2 linked regions of the Elephas maximus indicus genome follow. The protein of the gene in region 1 interacts with the protein of each later gene in a pairwise test. Links are inferred from orthologs where the notes say so. Each region holds a gene or a part of one and is shown on either strand. Other genes may lie near its edges.

Evidence for each region.
Region 2: the proteins of TMEM79 (region 1) and CLEC7A interact in binary tests that used the Homo sapiens proteins (3 or more experiments, as listed by UniProt). The two-hybrid records come from large-scale screens. The link is inferred for Elephas maximus indicus from reciprocal best matches to the Homo sapiens genes TMEM79 and CLEC7A.

The regions. Positions count from the first base shown.
Region 1 is NC_064821.1:194,075,942-194,086,123, reverse strand, and holds TMEM79 (transmembrane protein 79), read right to left. Parts: upstream 5,410-10,182; 5' UTR 5,301-5,409; intron 4,518-5,300; 5' UTR 4,475-4,517; coding exon 3,727-4,474; intron 3,423-3,726; coding exon 3,209-3,422; intron 1,005-3,208; exon of another isoform or gene 428-1,004; coding exon 214-427; downstream 1-213. Other genes in the region: nonsense-mediated mRNA decay factor SMG5, read left to right, coding at 6,943-7,016.
Region 2 is NC_064822.1:67,379,026-67,389,207, forward strand, and holds the start of CLEC7A (C-type lectin domain family 7 member A), read right to left. Parts: upstream 5,613-10,182; 5' UTR 5,535-5,612; coding exon 5,405-5,534; intron 3,427-5,404; coding exon 3,328-3,426; intron 232-3,327; coding exon 97-231; intron 1-96.

The sequences.
Region 1 (10,182 bases):
CTGCCTCATGACTGTGAAGAGCCGCGCTGGCAGGGGAACAGAGGACGGTGCGGGCTCTGATTGCATGGGACCCCTGGGGCACTAGCGGGATTCATCCCTCAGAGGCACCAGGATTGGGGCACAGTCCAGGCCAGCAAACCCATTCAGAGAAGTGCCCCAAGCCCATCCCGGATCAGCCCACCCGCGAACCCGGGAGACTGGAGGGCCAGCGGCTCAGCCCCAGGGGCGGGGCCTGTAGATGGAGGCGGAGTGGGCGTGGTCCGGGTAGTCCAGGCGGCTCTCCGCCGCAGTGAGCATGCGCTCGGGCTCCACCACGAACATGTAGTAGAGGTTCCACACCAGCATGGCCAGCAGCGGCAGGAACGTCAAGCCGTAGCCAAAGCCTCGGAAGGAGCGGCCCACGGCGAAGGTCAGCCAGTATATCAGCCTGCGAAGGCAAGAAAGGGTCAGACCATCCTATGGATCACAACAGTCCCATCCGTTGTGCGTGGGGTGGCCATGAGTCTGTCGCCCACTGGACATAAGCTCATAACCACCACCACCCTCGAGGGAAGCGCATAGGCTGATGGTGGTGAGAACACACAGTGAAGGAGGTAGATGGGGGCTGGTGAATACAGCTGGTATACTAATAACAGCCAATATTCGTGCACTTACAATGTGCCAGGTACTGTGCTAATTACTTGAACAGCACTATTAGACTTATCCACATCTCTATGAAACCGGTATATTTATCCTCCTCTTTTATATATTTTTCAAATTTTAATTAAAAATTTTCGAATGGGTAGTATACATTGACATGGTTCAAAATTCAAAGGTACCCCCATGCATATAGTACCTTTCCTGACTCCCTGGCAGCCGGTGTTATGGTTTCTTGTGCTTCAAGTGATCTTTTACACACATAGGATGAGCGAAACGATTTTTGTTTTCTTTTTCTCCCTTTTTTGAAGTACAGCAGCATACTATATGCACTGTTCTACACGTTGATTTTTTTCTTTTAACGTATCTTGGAGATAATTTTATATCAGTATATAAACAGCTTCCTCATTCTTTTACATCGGCAGTGCATTTCAGTGTGTTTATTTCCTCTTTTGCCAATGAGGAAACTAAGGCTCCAAAGGGGTTAAATAAGACTGGCTCAAGGTTATACATCTGGGAAATAGCAAAGCTGTGATTTGAACCCAAGCCTCCTGTCTTTTTAAAGGGGCAGAGGAAAAAGAGGAGAAGCCAGCTTCACGAGGGCTTGAAGCCCAGAGGGATGGGTCAGCCACCAAATTTTCCCTTTCGGAAAAACAAAATACACATCCTTCAATGGGGATTGGAGGAGCAGCATCTGCTTAATATAAAAAGGACTGACCACTCATTACAAAATTGCTTTTTCACCTGTGAAAGGGAGGGAAGAGTAACTGCGGTTTCTGGACTGTACCAGGAAGCAGCATGGGATAACAGTAAGAGGCCACATTTATCAAGCCTTCCCAAGTGCCTGGCTGCTGTAAGCACCCTACAGGAATTAACTCATTCAGTCCTCACAACAACTGCATTTTATAGATGATGAAACAGGGACAAAATGCTAAGGCAACTTGGCCATGGAAGAGAAAAAAGGAGCCTGGATAGAAGGAGGAAGGGACCTGGATTCCAGTCCTATAAAATGAGGCGGCTGGACCGGATAATTGCTGAGTCTTCCTTTAGCTGCCTAATGATTCTTACTGCTTAAGCCAACTTCTCCCTGAGACCAGCATTCTCCAAGAGAGATGGGAGGTTGAGTTACGTAAGCAGGAACATATTTATCTTGAGAAACATTTACGGAGAGAAAAGGCAAAGCTGCATGATGGTCAGGAGGCTGGGGGAGGGGGGTACAGCTGACCACTAGACTACAATCAAAAGTGACAGGAAGGCACATTTTAGCTTGATATAAGGAATAATATTTTAGCAGTTAAAGCTACCTGGAAGCCTGTATCAAAAGTAACAAGAGGAAATGTATTAGGGAAAAATGGAAAGACCTGCGTTTGGGCTCAGAAATTCAAAGATGCCTTCCAGGTGAACAGTAGTTCACGTGGAAAAAGCCCTAGGGATTTCAGGGGACTGCAGACTCTGAATGAAAGGAGAGTAATGACGCTACCATGAGAGCTAATGTGGCCATGGTTTGCATGAATAGGATAGTGCCCTTGAAGGGTCCCCATTAACAAGCAGGAGAATTTCCTGCCCAGAGGAAAGGACCTGGGACAGTGAAGGGACCTGGGCAGTTAGCAAAGAAAGAGACTGGGTAGCAGGGTGCTGAGCTAGGGGGTTTAAGAGCTGTCATCAAACGCCTGAATTTGCCTTAGGCAATTCCAGAGATCAGGGTCGGGGCAGCAGTTTTCAGCACAACATAAAAACTTTCTAACAGTTAACCTGTTGTCATCAAGTCAATTCCGACTCATGGCAACCCCATGTATTACAGAGTAGAATTCAGCTCCGTGGGGTTTTCTTGGCTGTAATCTTTATGGAAGCAGATCACCAGGCCTTTCTCTCATGGTGCTACTGGGTGGGTTCAAAACCATCAACTTTTTGATTAGTAGTGGGTGCAAGTCATTTGCAATGCCCAGGGACTCCTAATAATTGTTGTGTGCCCTCGAGTCGATTCTGACTCATAGAGACCCAGTGTGACAGAGTAGAACTGCCCCATGGGGTCTCCCAGGCTGTAATCTTTACAGGAGCAGATCGCCAGGTTTCTTCTCCCACAGAGCAGTGGTGGGTTAGAACCTCCAACCTTTCAGTTAGCAGCTGAGCACTTAACCATTGTGCCACCAGGGCTCCTTTATAACAATCAGGACCTTTAAGAAGTGAAACAGATTGTCTTGTAAAGAATTGAGCCCCTTATCTGAGGGGGTGTTCAACAAGACGCCAAATGGCCACTAGACCAGAGTGCCACAGAGGAGTGGCTACAACGGGTGGGAGGTTGGTCAGGATGATGCCTGAATGCCCTTCAGGTTCTAGGTTGGTATATATGTCTCTGAAGTCAGCTTCCTATGAGAAGACATATGAGCTGATTACCCACTACCAGGTGAGGTCAAGTGCAAGGGAGAAAGTGGACTCACTGCTCCAGGATTCACATTTGGGCTGATGCAGAATCCAGAAAGACCCCTGTCCCTGGTTCTCCAGCCATTCAGTTGCCTGGGTCCCTCTAGCATCACTGCCTTGCCCTCAAGCTCCACCCGCAGTCCCAACTCACCTGGAGATGGCAAAGAGGCCAGTGAGCAGTGGGAGCAGCTTGAGGGTGTCCTGGGGCAGGTAGGTGGAAAGCACGGCCAGGTTGAAGAAGTAGAGGATGAAGAGCTGCACCGACTGGGCCACATATCGCCGGTGGATCTCCACCTCCCGCCGGGGCTCCCCAAAGGGCCGTAGGGCAGAAAAGCACAGCAGGCTCAGCCCATATACCAGGATTCCTGGGGTGGGGTTGGGGAGCACACAGAGTCAGGAAAGACAGGAGGAAGGAGCTTTAGGCAGGAAGCTGGGGCCAGGGTTCACAGTGGAGGGTGCAGGCCCCACAGAAGGAAAGTGCATAGATTATACACAGTGGGGCTGAGGTGGTCCTAAGATGGGTGGACACACAGGTGGCAGGGCACAGGAGGCCATGAGGGGTCCAGCTCGAGTGAAGGGAAACCCAACTGCTCCCCAAACCAGCAGGTCCCACCCTCCTCGAGTCTAGTTCCCAGATGTCCCCTTTCTTCTGAAGGGCCCCGAGCTCACCCAGCACGATGGGGAAGGTGGCAAAGACCCCGCAGCGCAGCGTGTAGACCAGACGGGAACTCACTGTGGGCAGCCGAGGGGCATCGAAGGGCAAGAAGGCATATGCCCCATACAGTAGGCAGGGGAAGAGGATGAGGGCGGCCCCTACCGAGGCCACGGCCCTCAGCCCCTCACGGCTCCCACAGCCCTTGCAGGACCGGCTAGGTGGCCTCACCACTGCCTCAGCCCACTTGCGCTCAGGGGGCTCAGGGTGGGTGGCCCGGGTGGGCAGAAAGGCCCGGCGCTCCTCCTCGCCTGACTCACAGCGCACTATGAGGTCCTCCTGGGGCCGCCGCTCAATGCATTGTAGGTCGATGGGCACAAAGGCGCGGGCTGCCTTCTCAGGCAGCAGGTTCACATCATCTTCGGATGGCTCCTCTGGCCTGGGAGGTGGCTCTGACTCTAGGGACTCTGGCCCAATGCCCCGCCAGCCGGGGGGGTCTGGGAACGGAGCACTGGGCTGGGGGCCAGTCCCCCAGGGCAAGGTGGCAGCCTCGCTCACTGTGCTGTCCAGACCATCCTCAGTCCCCTCTCCAGCCATGGGAGACCCAACCGAAGACTCCACTCTGGGGGACTCAGCTCTGGGGGACTCAGCCCCACCTTCCCCTTCTGGCTGCTGGCCATTGGGAACCAAAGCCTGAGGTGGGCTCTTTTCCAAAGCCTCGGACCCCTTCACTTCCAACAGGGCTACAGTCTCAGGTTTGGTCATGCTGAGGCCTCAGTTCTGGGGTCTACAGCGAGGTCATGTCACCCTGCAGAGAGCAGAGGGAAGCTCTGTCAGTGCCCCTGTCCTCTGGCCCTTAGGACAAGCGGGCAGAGCTGGAACTCTCCAGGACAGACCCTTGATGGGCTTGAGCCCCATCTGGGACCTTAAGGAGAACATGCTGTGAGGAAGGTGTTGAAACAGAGGGAGGTGGAAGGGAAGTGAGCAGCTGAAATGGAGGCTCCCTTTCGACACCAAATGCCAACCAGCAGGAGACGGTGAGTCAGGGGGGCACAGGTCCTGGCAGTTATGGCCTCAGCTGGCCTACCCACGCCTTCTGCCCCACTCCACCAAAACCCCTGGGGTCATGGCCACCCTAATCCAGGAAAGGGAGAAAGAGGAGGTGTCTAGAACTTTGCCAAGAACTTCCTTTCCACCCAGGACCTTCCTGTGACTAGAGAAGCTGCCCCCCTATTTTCCCACCTGCCCTTCCCCCTGCAGACCACCACGTGGAACTCTAGTGGCAGTGGATGCCCGTGATTTGCCTACAAATATGTCCTAGGGAGCTAGCTGTCCCAGGGCACCCTGTCCCTTCAGCTCCAATCTGGGTATTTGGTCAGATTCCAAACACCTCACTGGCCTACTTCATCTACCTCCACAGGGCTGGGGTCTGTCCATTCCCAACTTCCAGGTTTAATAATGGCTGTTTTCCATGTCTCTCCTCCTGCCTTTCTTTCCACCCTGCCATTTGGTCTGCACCTCACTGCTCCCTCCTTTTCCTCAAGGACCCTTCTACCCCTCCTCGCAGTTTGGACCCATGACACCCTCTTACTTTCCATCTGGAGACAGGTGGAGGGTCCTGGCCGGTGTCTGGGAAGGAGCTGCCCAGCTCCCTGCTGGCTCTACAAGTATTTCTCTCCGTCTCCCTCTCTTTACCTGTGTCTCCAAACCTGTCTGACCAGAGCAGGTGGGGCCCAGATTAAAGGAGCAGGCCCCGCCCAGCTGAATTGGCCGACAGAAAAGGCATTAGAGGAGGGACTTCATTCTTTCTGGAAGTGGGGGTGCAGGTGGGCATAGGCACCAGTACACTTTTTAGGTACATGGGATGTGTAGGGGCTCCCAGCTAGGAAAGCAGAGGAGGAAGAGTGGGTTTGTATATTCGCAGGTATTGGAATAAGTTGGAATGCCCAGAAAAGAGGTGGAATTTGTACATTTATTTATTCAGTAAATACTTATTGAACTATTATTAGCTAGATGCTATTTTAGGTACTGACCCAGAAGAAAACAAGGTGACAGCCAAGGTCCCTGTCCTTGAGGAGCTTTTGTTCTATTGGGGTGATAGATAATTAAAAAACCTAGCAACTAAGCCAAAAAGACAATTTCAATAAGGAAAGTCTCTTTGACAGGGTGACATTCCAGCCGAGACCTGATGGGAAATCAGGAGTATGAGTGTTCCAGGCAGAGGAACAGCAAGTGAAAGGCCAACAGGTAGGAAGGACAGACTGTTTCAGGAGCAGAAAGGTCAGGTGGCTGGAGCCAAGAGCATAGTGGTGGAAGGGAAATTTATGTTCCCATTGCAACCTGTAAACAGGCTCGGGGACACCTTGCTTTTTAACTTATTAAGGTTAAGAGAGCAATACAAATCCATGTTAGATAGCAGGTGATCCTTCTACGTGAGCGAGTGGGAGAAAAAGTGGCTTTTCATTCCTGTGCGATCTTATTCCTAAAGGCATTGGAACTCTGTGAGACCACGGTTAGTGTCTAGCTTGCTCACCTCTGTGTCCTCAGCACGGTGGTTGGAAGACAGCAAGTATTCAATAAATGTTTGCTGGGCTGGTATGAGAGAGATACGCAAGCTGAAAATCTTTCGGAGGTGGAGCTGAAAGGCGCGATGCTTGTACAAAAGTCTCACTGGGACTTACTCCTATGTGATCCTTGGCTTTTTCCAAGAAAATTTTAACTTTTTTTTTTTTAATTATGGAAAAAAGGGAGAATTGGAGTCACTCTAACCAGTAACCTGAAAGACGCTCGGCTCAAATGGGGAGGGAATGAGGGCAGATCACTGGGACGCCCCTCGCTGTTGGCTCTCCTGCCCCAATCCAGTTTAGCTTCAGCCTCCTGAGTCCACTGTCTGTTCTCTGGAAGCTTTGTCAATAAAGTTTTTCGTGAGCGCTTAGAGAAGCCAGAATGGAGCCATGCTGCCCAGAGTTAGTTCTGGCAACTTCCCGGGAGGGAAAATGAGTTTCGCGAGATTTGGCAGTAGCCGGCCACTGGCCTACAACCGTGCGCCTGACTGATATCGCGAGATTTGACAGGCGGAGGAGGAGCTGTCGCGGGCAGCGTCCTCACAGCGATGGCGGCCGAGCAGGGCCGGCGGTGGTGGCGGCTGCGGCTACGGCTGGATATGGCAATGGCAGCGGCAGCGGTAGGTGGCGGGGGCCTGTGACCGGGAGCCGTCCCCGGACCCGGGCACCATGAGCCAAGGCCCCCCGACAGGGGAGAGCAGCGAGCCCGAAGCAAAGGTCCTCCACACCAAGCGGCTTTACCGGTGAGAGGGGCTGGGGCGTGAGTGCAGCAGCCGAGGGAAGTGGGGGGACAGCGAGGGGCGGGGCTTCCCGGACGGGCGGGGGCCAGGTGCCGGGCTGGGCGGCGGGCGAGGGAGGAGGGTGCAATTTTGGAGGGAGCAGGAGGGGTGGGGCTCCGTAACCGGGATGGAGCTGAAGGGCGGAATTGGGTGGGTGGGAGGTTTGGAGGGAAGCACGTGGAGGCATCCCCTCCGCGGTGAACTTGGGGCGGGCACTGAGCTTTGCGGGTTTGTGGTAAGAGGCTGGGAATTGGGGCTGGAAGGGTTAGAGAGGTGAGGGCGGGGCCGCAGATAGAGAAAAACCCGGAAGGGAACGGTGCTTAGAACCCTGTAGGGGATTCCTGCGGGCCGGACTTAACAGGGAAGAGCCCCGGACTCAAAGCCAGGTTCGGGTCATTGCTTCGCCGTTTTCTGACTGTGTGACCTTGAGTCTCGGTTTCCTTGTCCTTAAAAGGAGCGATTCGGATTGGACAAGCTCTTGAAGCCATTTATGACTCTATAAATTTTGGGGAGTCTGAATGAGAACAGAGAGGCTGGAAGGCTAGTTGCGTTCGACAGGAAGGGCCATGAAGGACTTTGGGTTCAGGGTGTTCTTAGGAAATGGGAGCCCACTTCAGGGCCCTCAGGGACTCCTGAGTCTTGCCTTTCCCCCAGCCTCATGACTGCAGTCCCTTGCCAGGCAGCTTCCATTCCTGGTTTCTGATTTCCACGGTGTTTACCCACTCCTCACGTCACATCTTCGCCCTTCAGCCTCTGTTGGGAGCAGGCCAGTATGAGCTTTTCCCAGCCTGGGTTGAGGATTTGGGGGGTAGGGCAGCTAGAACATGGACCCCAGAACTGGATCAGAATAGGAGGAAGCGTAGAGAATGAGGTGAGTTTTATGCCCTTTTAGGGAGAAGAACTTGGGGTTTTCATTTATCACAGGCAATAGAGAACAGGAGTGTTTGCATGAGGAAACTACCTTCAGAGCCTTGGCCCCCATGTAGGCAGTGAAAGGGTCAAGAGCATGTTGTGTTTTCTTCCCTGAGCAGGCATCCTGCCTCCTCTGGTTTTGTAAGCCAGAAGGCAGAAGGCAGAGGGGAGCATAGGCTGCTCCAAAAATAGAAAGGTGATCCAATCCAGCAGCCCCTGGGCTCCCACTGTGGGCTGCCCCGGGCAGTCCCCAGGCAAGTAAGGAGTTAGCTGGGGGTGACACGTGTGCCTCGTCATGCTGCCGAATGTCAGCGCTGCCTGTCAGACAGAGCGTGGGCAATGTCTGCAACATTCCTTACTAGTCTCCAGCTTTTAGGGATGGCTGTGGTCATCTTTCTTGTCATTCTCAAATCTAGTTCTTTCTCAAGCCACTACCTTCACAGGTCTTAGCTGACTTAAGCTGGTGTGTTTGTGCGTGTGGTTTCCATGTGTGCACATGGGTATTTGTACCTGCAGTTGCATGTTGTTGGCTTTGAGCAGTGTGGAAATTTGAGGTAGCCCGTCTCTGTTTTTATTGTTTATTATAGCAAGGGCGATTGGTGGAAGGAAACTAGCGAAGGAAGATCTGACTTCTCTGCCCAAGATAAACTTGTTAGACTATAAAGCTGCCACTCACACTCCAGTAAATTTGGGAAACTCCCACAACCTAGTTGTTTACTCAAATAAAATTCTGAAATGTTTTAAGCACTCAAAAGGCAACAGGAGAAGGGATGCTGGAATGGATAAAACCAGAAAACCCATTGCCATCCAGTTGTTTCCGATTCATAGCAACCCTACAGGACAAAGTAGAACTGCCCCATAGGGCTTCCAAGGAGCAGCTGGTGGGTTCGAACTGCTGACGGTTTGATTAGCAGCCTGAGCTCTTAACCATTGTACCACCAGGGCTCTGAAACAAATAAAAGCACCAATTAATTAGGCAAATTAATTATTTCTTTTTTCAGCATTTAAAAAATATTAACACCGTGTTAAGCCTGGGATTACAGTAGTGAATGAGTCATAATACTGGTTTCTGTACAAACAATTTAGTGGAAGGAGCTTATGGTCTGATGAGGAGTGGGGAAAAGACTGCTGAACCCTTTCAGATTTGAGATCTTGTAATTGGAACTTCTTAGAGTAGTGATTATTAACCATTTTTGGATTGAGAAGTCTAAGGAGCGCTCTGGAGCCTCTCCATAAACACAAACACATACCACCAACACCTTAGATCTCTCCATGGCATTGAGGTCGAGAAGCCCTGCCTGGGGACTAAGCTGGCATGGAGTAAATCACTGATGGCTGCCAGATGCTGTCCCTGGCACCGAGGGCCAGGCTGGCTAAAAGGGTTTGGCTGCCATCTCTAGGCAGCCCAAAAGGTTTTTGGAGAAATGCTGAGTTCTCAGATTGCCTGTGAGAAGGCCTTGATTACTGTCCCACTCACTCAGCTGGGTGCTGGTGGTCACTTTGTCCTTTACAGGACAGCTTTTAGTGGTGTTCCACCTAAGCCGCCCCAGCCCAGGAACACAGTTTAGTTTGTTTTGGGAATCATCACTCCCAGTTTTTTGGTTGCTTTTATTTCCACATATATGCCTGATTCACCTATTGGTGCCTATCATGCTCTTGGTTTTACCCTTCTGGAGATGTCATCTACCTCTGGGACTTTTTGGCTTTCGATTGTAGACTTTCCTTGGCCTTTTATTTGCTGTGATGACAAACTTACTTCTCAGGGCTTGAGCCTTAGAAGGATGGAGACTAACACTTATTGAGCACTTATTATGTCCAGGTGCTGTTTTGAGTGCTTTGTGTATATTGGCTAATGTAATTCTTACAAGCTAGATGATGCTATTATCCCCATTTTATAGATGGAAGAACTGAAAGATAAAGAGGTTAGGTATTTTGCCCAGGACCACTTAGCTGCTTAGCTGGACAGAAGTAGAGCCAGGATTTGAACCCAGGCAGTCTGGTTCCAGAGCCTTCACTCTTAACAGTATGCTAAACAATTCCTTTAGTAGAATCCAGCAGACTAGGTTGAGTGGTGAAATGGACAGTCCACCTTACAAATAAGCCACTCAAGAGTCCCCTCCTACTTTTCCATGCCCCACTATTTCAAAGCAGAATTTTATACAAGGGATGCCTTCCCTTTATGTCAGATAATAACCCCGTGCATAATAATGATTTACTC
Region 2 (10,182 bases), on another chromosome or scaffold:
AAGTGTAATCTCCTCACCCTTCTGTCCTAAGCCTTCCCACCAAGAATGAACCCTCTAGAATCAAGGATTTCATGAGCGCTTTGACTGGGCCCTTGCCTCTGGTTGTGAGAGCCTTGGTAGGAGACATACTCTCTTCTAAAGATGATTGTGTGGGTTGGCTCTGGTTCTGGTTACTTCTTGATGAAAAGTTGTTCTCCAGTGGGTTGCTCCCTGAGTAGGATCTCCAAACAGCTTCATATATCAACAACAATAATGGTGAAAGAAAAAAAAAAGTCATTCCACTATATTTGAAAAGTAAAATCCCAAAACCCGTGTATTTGTTTTGTGGGGACATAAAGAAATACATTATTGATTAATGACACAAAAAAATTTCTTTCGAGTCCATTCCAACTCAAAAGCAACCCTGTTTAGTACAACTGCCCTATGGGGTTTCCAAGGCTAAAAATCTTTGCAGAAGCAGACTGCCACATCTTTCTTCCACAGAATTGGCTGGTGGGTTTGAACTGCTGACTTTTCAGTTAGCAGCTGAGTGCTTAACAACTGCACCACGAGGGCACCAGATTAATGAGAAGTAAATGACAAATTGCTAGTGGGGAGGTGAAGATGAGTGAGAAATCAACAGATCCATCCATAGATAGATAGGCAGACAGACCAACCAAACAGTGGACGGGTGGACTGATATATGTATGTATGAACAGAGGGACCTATGGACAGATGGCTGCACGCATAGTGGTAGAAAGAAAGGCTAAATAACTTCCATAAAGGAGGTGCTGTGAGAAGTGAGAGAAATGAAGCAGGTAGAAAAGAAAAAAAATGATGGAAGTAGGAGGCAAATGGAAGAGAGTTGATAGGAATAATGATAGATCTAAAACAGTAATAATTCGTCTCTCTGCTTTCTGTTATTTAGAAATGTTAGCTCCTTAGCTCCTTGAGTGTCGGTAGTAGAATACACTCAATAAACATTTGACTAATTAATGAAGAATCTCTTAAGGCATAATAGTACTTTATTGTGACCAGAATGCATGATATATAAAATCTAAAGAAATTTATTCATCATAAAAAATATATACAGTACTTAGTAGGTGTCTCAGATATTTCTAGTTGCCTCAGACAATTCCTGGTACATCCAGAGGAGTTTGTACTAAATATCAGGTATAAAATGATTTCCTTAAATCATAAGCTTTATAGAAAAATTTTATAGTCTCTTTAGTGAATTTACTTCTTTAGGAAGATGGTACCATATCGTACTTCCCTCTTCAGCTCCATTAATTTATTGTGGAAATTCCATGCCTTTGAAACTAGTCACAGTAGTCCTTCGGTATCCATAGGAGATTGGTTCCAGAACAACCCTTCCATACCAAAATCCTCAAACGCTCAATTCTACACACATCCTCCCATATACTTTAAATCATCTCTGTTGTTAGCAGCCGTTGAGTCAGTTCTGACTCATAGCGACCCTGTGTACAACAGAACGGAACGTTATCCGGTCCTGAGCCATGCTATCAATTGTTGTTTTGCTTTAGCCCATTGTTGCAGCTTTGTGTCAGTCAAACTCTCTGAGGGCCTTCCTCTTTTTGTTGATGCCCTACTTTACCAAGGATGATGTCCTTCTCCAGGGACTGGTCCCTCCTGATAACACCTCCAAAGTATGTTAGACAAAATCTTGCCATGCTCACTTCTAAGGGGCATTATGGCTGTGCTTCTTCTAAGACATGTTTTGATTTGTTTGTTCTTCTGGCAGTCCATGGTATATTCAATATTCTTCTCCAACACCATAATTTAAAGCCCTCAATTCTTCTTCCCTCTTCCTTATTCATTGCCCAGCTTTCACATGTATATGAGGTGAATGAAAACACCAAGCTTGGGTCAGGTGCACCTTAGTCCTTAAAGTGACATCTTTGCTTTTAACACTCTAAAGAGGTCTTTTGAAGCACATTTGCCCAATGTAATATGTCATTTGATTTCTTGACTGCTGCTTCCATAAGCATTGACTGTGTATCCAAGTGAAATTAAATCCTTGACAACTTCAGTCTTTTCTTGGTTTATCATCATGTTTCTTATTGATCCAGTTGTGAAGATTTTTTTTTTTATGTTGAGGTGTAATTCATACTGAAGGCTGTGGTCTTTGATCTTCATCAATAAGTGCTTCAAATTCTCTTCATTTTCAGCAAGGTAGATTGTGTCTTCTGAATATCACAGGTTGTTAACAAGTCTTCCTCCAATCCTGGTGCCCTGTTCTTCTTCATATACTCCAGCTTCTCAGATTATTAGCTCAGCATACAGATTGAATGAATATGGTGAAAGGACACAACCCTAATGCACACCTTTCTTGACTTTAAACCACACAGTATTACCTTATTGTGTTTGAACAACTGCTTCTTGACCTAAGTACAGGTTCCTCATGAGTACAATTAAGTGTTCTGGAATTTCAATTCTTGGAAATGTTCTCTGTAATTTGTTATGATCCGCACAGTAAAATGCCTTTGCATAGTCAATAAAACACAGGTAAACACCTTTCTAGTATTCTCTGCTTTCAGCCAACATCCATATGACATCAGCAATGATATCCCTGGTTCCACATCTCTTCTGAATCTGGTTTGGGTTTCTGGCACTTCCCTGTCGATATACTGCTGCAGCTGCTTTTGAATGATCTTCAGCAAAATTTTACTGGTGTGTGATATTAATGATACTGTTCCATAATTTCCACACTCTGTTGGATCATCTTTCTTTGGAATCGTTACAAATATGGATCTCTTTCAGTTGATTGGCCAGGTAGCTGTCTTCCAAATTTCTTGACACAGATGAGTGAGCACCTCTGGCACTGAAAACGTTTTTTCTAAACATCTCCGTTGGTATTCCATCAATTTCTGGAATCCTGTTTTTCACCAATGCCTTCAGTGTAGCTTGGAACTCTTCCTTTAGTAACATCAGTTCTTGATCATATACAATCTCCTTAAATGGCTGAACATCAATTCTTTTTGGTACAGTGAGTCCGTGTATTCCTTCCTTCTTCTTTTGTATTTTTTTCAAATATTTTCAATCTGTGGTTGGTTGAATCCACTGATGTGGAACCCATGGACTCGGAGTTTCTCAGACAGCCTATCTAAATTTTAATCATGGCCCCACCATGACCCTAGAATAGTAAAATTACCTCCCTATCTCTCAATTCACTTATAAATAAAATGGGGATTAATAGTACCAACTCAATAGAGTTAATGTAAGGGTTAAATGAAATTATGTATGTCAAACCTTTAAACAAGTGCCTGGCATGTAATGAATGTTCATTGAAAGTATGCATTATTGCTAATCTCCTCTAACAGTACTCACCCTTGGTGCCCAGAACCACAGCTATCACCAGTGTTATCAAGAATAAGATCCCCAAAATCACAGCAATGACACACCAACGAGGAGATGCAGCACAAGTTCCTGAGGAGCCAGAGGGAGAAGAAGTTGAATGAAGGACTAGAATGATGGACTGAGAAACCAAAAAGCCAAACCTGTTGATTCGGACTCACAGCGACCCTAAAGGACAGAGTAGAACTGCCTCATAGAGTTTCCAAGGAGTGCCTGGGGGATTCGAACTGCTGACCTTTTGGTTAGCAGCCGTAGCACTTAACCACTACACCTGATGGACTGTGAGGCTCTTTAAATCTACAGTTCATCAAAATCTGGCAAATTCCAAAGTGAACCATTCATTAGTCACTGTTTTTGAGATAATCTAATCATCTAGTACTAGCCTAATTTTTTATACACCTTTAGCATGCCTCTTCAAGCCCTGGACATGTAATTTGGGCACAGTGCTTTGATATGTATCCATTCTTAATTTCAGTTCCACAAAGTCAGCTACAGGTCTTGTCACTGCTAGGAATCCTGAAATCCCACTTATTCCTTAAGCAGGGAGCTTAATGTAGGGGAAAGAACAGTGGTTACCAAGGGTGGCAAAATCAAAATATGGAACCTTCTCTTTTTACTTATTTGCTGCAGGATCTTGAGCAAATTACCCCCTCTGGTTTTTCATTATTATTTATTGAAAACTGGACTAAGAATACTTCAATGGATTGTTGTGGGGATTGCATTGGTTTACATAAGTAAAAGCACCTAGTTTAAATACTGTTAGCACACTGTAGGTAACTCAGTGTTTGCCCACGCATACACATAAACACATGCATGCCTTCCTCCCTCTTGCCTCACTCAGTTTTTCCACTCTTCCCCAGTAGATTGCTCAAGGAAAGAATTACATAAGTGGTGAGACAAAAATAATTGTGCAATGTGACTAACAAGAAAGCAGAAGAGAGCAAATTCTTATGCCAAAACCTGTCAATAATCTCTCTCCCGATATAACATGGAACCCATTTTGTGTTAACATTGACACACTAAGAACCTATCTCTGCCTTTAACTGAGAATAAGTAATAAGAGAATTTCATAGGATTTTCAAATAGGAAACTAATAATAAAAAAAAAAAAAAACCAAACCTGTTGCCATTAAGTCAATACCAACTCATAGCGACCCTACAGGACAGAACAGAACTGCCTCATAGGATTTCCAAGGAGCACCTGGTGGATTTGAACTACCATCCTTTTGGTTAGTAGCTATAGCTCTTAACCACTATACCACCAGGGTTTCCAGGAAACTAATAGAGGAGGCTAAATTATTAATTCTATGAAAAGATGGGTTTTTCTTATGTCCTTCGTATTTCACCTTCTTATATTTTAAGACTCATTTGTCACTAAAGGAATCTCTTCCTTTAACATGTGTATTTTCCTTCACCGGTATATCAAGAACTTCCCTTTGATTAAAAGCTAATTAAATCAATAAGCCAAATCAATTTCACATCACATAAATCATAACAAATCAATATTATAAACACTATTACATCTGACTTCCATTTTACCAGAATATGACAGATTCTTTTTCCCTCGGTGCCTTCCATTACTGATCTTCCATCTTTTTTTTTTTTTTTTATCATTCGCTTTCTTATCTGCTATATCCTGATGTTCTTATACACTTCTTTAAGTTTCCTTGACCTCCATTCTACAATCTATGCCTTTCTATCAACCAAGCAATAAACCACTCTTATTGAAATTCCTTCATTTTTGCTCATTGCCACATTTATTACAACTCCTCACTGTTCAAATGTCTACTCCTACAGAAAAGAGAAATTCTGAATATTTTGTCATCATACATAATTAATTTAAATACTAGTAATTAGACACTGAATGCTATTATCTGAGTTGCCACAAGAAAATACTTAGCTCACATTCAAATTATCTTCAGTGACTTCTGAAAACCTGACATTTAAAAAAGTATTAATAAAAGCCCTATAAATCACAAGTCTCAAATTTTCTTCTCTTCGGTGATTTGGATAATGATGATGAAAGTATTGAAGGGATAAAGAAAAATTACCTTTCTTTGAGACTATAGGTCTCCTGGAGTTGTCTCTAGAGTTGAAGTCTAATTGAGTATATCCATCCTCATCCAAATTTTCTGTATTGGAATAATATTCCATTGTTCTGTTGAGTCCCTGGACAGACATAGCATCTGAGAGCCCTTTCTTCTCTTCTAAGACAACTGCTTACGGACAAAAGAGGACCTATGAGTCAAATCATGTGGGATGGGCAATCGCTGAGGTTTAACGACTTGAGCTTGAGTAGTTCAACCAGATACCCAGGAGCAGGAAGTGAAAATTCTGCTGTGGCAATTTCCCATTCGGACCTTTAGATCCTATTTCTGAGACTGCTGATTCTAAGAAAATTATAACACAGCATAGTAGATAGATCCTTGTTTCAGACCTAATAAAATAAAAATATATAGATTTATGTCCCAAGCTGCTTTCATTATTCTCACAACTGATTTTGACATCATTAAATGACTTGGCTTATGCAAACTGTCAAACAATCTTGGTATCTTGAGTTCACCATGACTTCATTATGACTACACATTCATTAATTTATTCATGCATTCATTCAATAAACATTTGTTGAATGTCCACCTTTTCAACCAATAGGAGTTGGGAATATAAGGATAAACAATACCTGTGTAGAAGCTTATTGCTTAGCAAAGGAAACCTACAGATGAAAGTGTGAAGGATGCCATTAGGAGGGGCATAATTGTAGCAACAGCAGGGATCAAATATCTGATATTTGTCGTGGGATAATCACACGAAGCAGTAATTATTTATTGAACAATTACTATGTGTTAGGTACTGTGCATTGTACTTGCTTTCTCATTTAATCTCAGTTTTCCAGCGAGCCTATATTGTAGGTATTATTATTTCTATTTTCAGATGAAAAAATTTAGCCCCTTTCTCAGGTTTAAGTAGTTAATAAAAGAGAGTGGACTAAGTAATCAGAGCAAGGTTCACTCCTGCTGCAAACTTCGTGCCCTTTCTGTTAGGTTACACTGCCTCCTTCACCATTCTGTACATTTCTGTAGCAATTAACAGCTCATGGAGAGTTCTGGGACTGAAATGTTCTGCAAAGTGTTTGATTTTTTCCTCTCTTCCAATTTCCTTAGTAATGATTAAATCAATGATACATGGAAAATACTTATTACTTCTAGAAACTAGACAGATGTCCAATCCATTTATCAGAATTTGAAGACTGTAGAAAGCAGGACACATCTGTTTAACATGTTATCAAAATGGAAGATAGATCACTGGAGAGTAAATAAGTGGGTTCCTCCCTGTCTTAACCACAATTTTCTAGAGAAACGGAATCATTAAGACATATAGATACAGGCGTAAGTTTGCTATGAGTTGGAATCAACTGGACAGCAGCGAGTTTGGTTTGGTTTTATAGATGTAGATATAGATATTGTTTTTAGCTAACATTGATTCAGACCCCAACTCATGGTGACCCCACATGCAACAGGATCAGACCATAGTGATCCATAAAATTTTCATTGGCTTATTTTCAGAAGTAAATCGCTGGGCTTTCCTTCCTAGTCTGTCTTAGTCTGGAAGCCCCATGAAACCTATTCAGCATCATAGCTAAATGCAAGCCTCTGTTGACAGACGGGTATTGGCTGTGAATGAGTTGCCCTGGCCAGGAATAGAATCAAACTCAGATCTGCATGAAAGGTGAGAATTCTACCACTGAATCACTAATGCCTCTCATATATATATATACATACATACTCACAAACACACATATATATATTTATGTATACACATGTATCTATATAATAGAGGCAGAGAGATTTATTTTTAAGGAATTGGCTTGCTCACAGGATGTGGGGGCTGGAAAATTAAAAATCTGTGGGTCAGGCAACAGACTGGCGATTCCTGCAGTCTTACATACCAACATTCATAGGTCAGGTGATGGGGAAGAATAAAGAGTGAAGGGGTTCTGGCAAAATGTCTACTTACAGTCTGAAAGAAGAATACACCTTAAGAGAAAGTCCCTTTTTGCTCTTATGGCCTTTAACTGATTGGTTGAAGCCCACACACATTATGGAGGGTAATCTGTTTTACCTGAGGCATGTAACTAATTTAATCACATGTAACTACTTCATACGGAAACCCTGGTGGCATAGTGGTTAAGTGCTACTGCTGGTAACCAAAGCGTCAGCAGTTCAAATCCACCAGGCCCTCCTTGGAAACTCTTTGGGGCAGTTCTACTCTGTCCTATGGGGTCACTATGAGTTGGAATCGGCTCGATGGCACTGGGTTTGGTTTTTTGGTTTAACTACTTCATAAAAGCATCTAGAAAAGCGTTTGTCCAAAAAAACGGGCACCACAGTCTAGCCAAGTTGACACATAAAATTAAACTTCCACTAACTTTTTGTAGGTGTGCTGCAAAGCAGCAGTGTGGTCTAATTCCAACATTCTTCAGTATTTCAGTTCTATAAAGGAGCCCTTAGAAAGCAGGCCATATCATGGCTAAAGGCAGGAGGGTCAGCCTACTATACAGAACCAAAGAACAGCGATGAGGGAAACACTTCTTCCAGGCAGTAATTGGAGAAGCTGGATTTATTCTGTCAATGCAGACCGCTGATACAAGAGTCTTTCTGTATGAAATGACTTTTATTCTCTATGACTATATTCCTCTATTTAATCTCAATCCCACAAAAACAATTGACTCTCTAAACTGTCAAAGAAAAATGCAATAGACATAAACTTTGGTGTTTTTTATTCTGGGAGCCCTGGTTGTGCAGCGGCTAAAGTGCTTGGCTGCTGACTAAAAGGTCATTGATTTGAACCTTCCAGCCACTCAGCAGGAGAAAGATGTGGCGGTCTGCTTCAGTAAAGATCTGTCCTACAGGGCCGCTATGAGTCCGAATCCACTGGATGGCAGTGAGAGGCAGTCAAACAACTGAACAGCGAAACTTGACATACTGGAAAAATAAGAAAACCCTCCGCATTTAAAAGGATGGGGAAAGGAGAGGGTCTAAATATCCAGAGAAAAATACTCTCTGTTAAACATTAATTTGGGAGGCCTTTGTGGTTAGTGGTTAAGAGCTTGGCTGCTAATCAAAATTTCCGCAGTTCCAGGAATCTATCAGTCACTTCTTGGAAACTCAGGGGGCAATTCTACTCTGTCCTATAGGGTTGCTGTAAGATAGAATCGACTCCACTGCAACAAGTTTGGTTTTGTTTTTAAACATTAATGTAAGAAACAGGAGAAAAATAAGTGGACTTAACCAAAATACCAAATAGGCAAAAAAAGAAAAAAAAGGTAATAATAATAATTCATATTCTCAGTGGGATTTGATGAAAAAACTGATTCATAAAACCAAAAACCCATAAAATCACACAAACCCTCTTTGTGACAAAACATTTGTGAACCGTGAACTCAGAGTTCACATTATGAAAAGGATTTATCTTTACCTAAAGCCAAAAATTGACTCGATGGCAGTGGGTTTGGTTTTTTTTTTTTTTTTTATGGCGCCTTGGTGCTGTAGTGGTTAAGTGCTCTGGCTGCTAACTAAAGGGTTGGCAGTTCAGATCCACCAGGCACTCCTTGGAAACTCTATGGAGCAGATCTACCCTGTTCCATAGAGTCACTCTTAGCTGGAATCGACTCCACAACGACAGGCTTGGTATTTTTTGGTTTGGGTAGGGAGCCCTGGTGGGGTAGTGGTTAGGAGCTTGGCTGCTACCCCAAAGGCTGGCAGTTTGAATTCCACCAGACACTCCTTGGAAAGCCTATTGGGGGCAGTTCTACTCTGTGCTATAGGGTCACTATAAGTCATAATCAACTCAAGGGTATATCGCCATCAAGAAGCCCTGGTGGTGCAGCGGTTAAAGTGCTAGGTTTGAATCCACCAGTCGCTCCATGGGAGAAAGATGTGGCAATCTGCTTCTGTAAAGATTTACAGCCTTGGAAACACTTTAGGACATTTCTGCACTGTCCTATAAGGTCACCGTGAGTCAGAATTGACTTCACAGCAATGGGTTTTGTTTTGTTTTGTTTTTTTGGTATTGCCACCTTGTCTCTTTGTTCCTGTCTATCTGTTCTCGAGTGCATTCCACATTGGTCAATGATCTTTGTGCAACTTTTCTATGCACTCAGAGGAATCTGACAATCTGAGCCTCATTTTCTTTTCAACAAATTAAAATGAATAGTATTGTACAAAATACTTTGAATTATATGTGTAAAATCTTTTAAATTATAGTAATGTACTTCTGGGAAAAGGAGAAAGTTTTACACCTATATTTATGTATATCACATTAATAAAAAATATTACAGTTTCTGATTTAGAGCTTACCTTCCCCAATTTGTCAATGATTTTGTCAAAATTAATATTTTTCATATATTCTCGTTGACTAATCAATTTAATTTTGAAAAGTTTATTTTGCTGAAGAAACATATACGTAAACTTAGGAAAAAGGTTTATAAGGATACAAGAGATCTATAAAACTCTTATTTCACAATAGTTTCAGAAATTGCAAGATTGCTCATGTCTTTTTCCTTCAGAATCAATTCTAGAGGCTTCAAATGTTGCTCTGCAGGTCAAAAAATTTTATACAATATAAATAAAAATTCTAAGTGGTCACATAGAATGACAGTTAAAGTAGACCAAATTCTGTTTCTTTGTTTTTATAATCACTGTACAATACTATCATTGCTTACCTCAAATTTACTGTTTAAACACTGAAATAGGTAGTTCCATAAGCCTGTTGCCATCAAGCCAATTCCTAGTCATAGCAACCCTGTAGGAGAGAGTAGGACTGCACCATA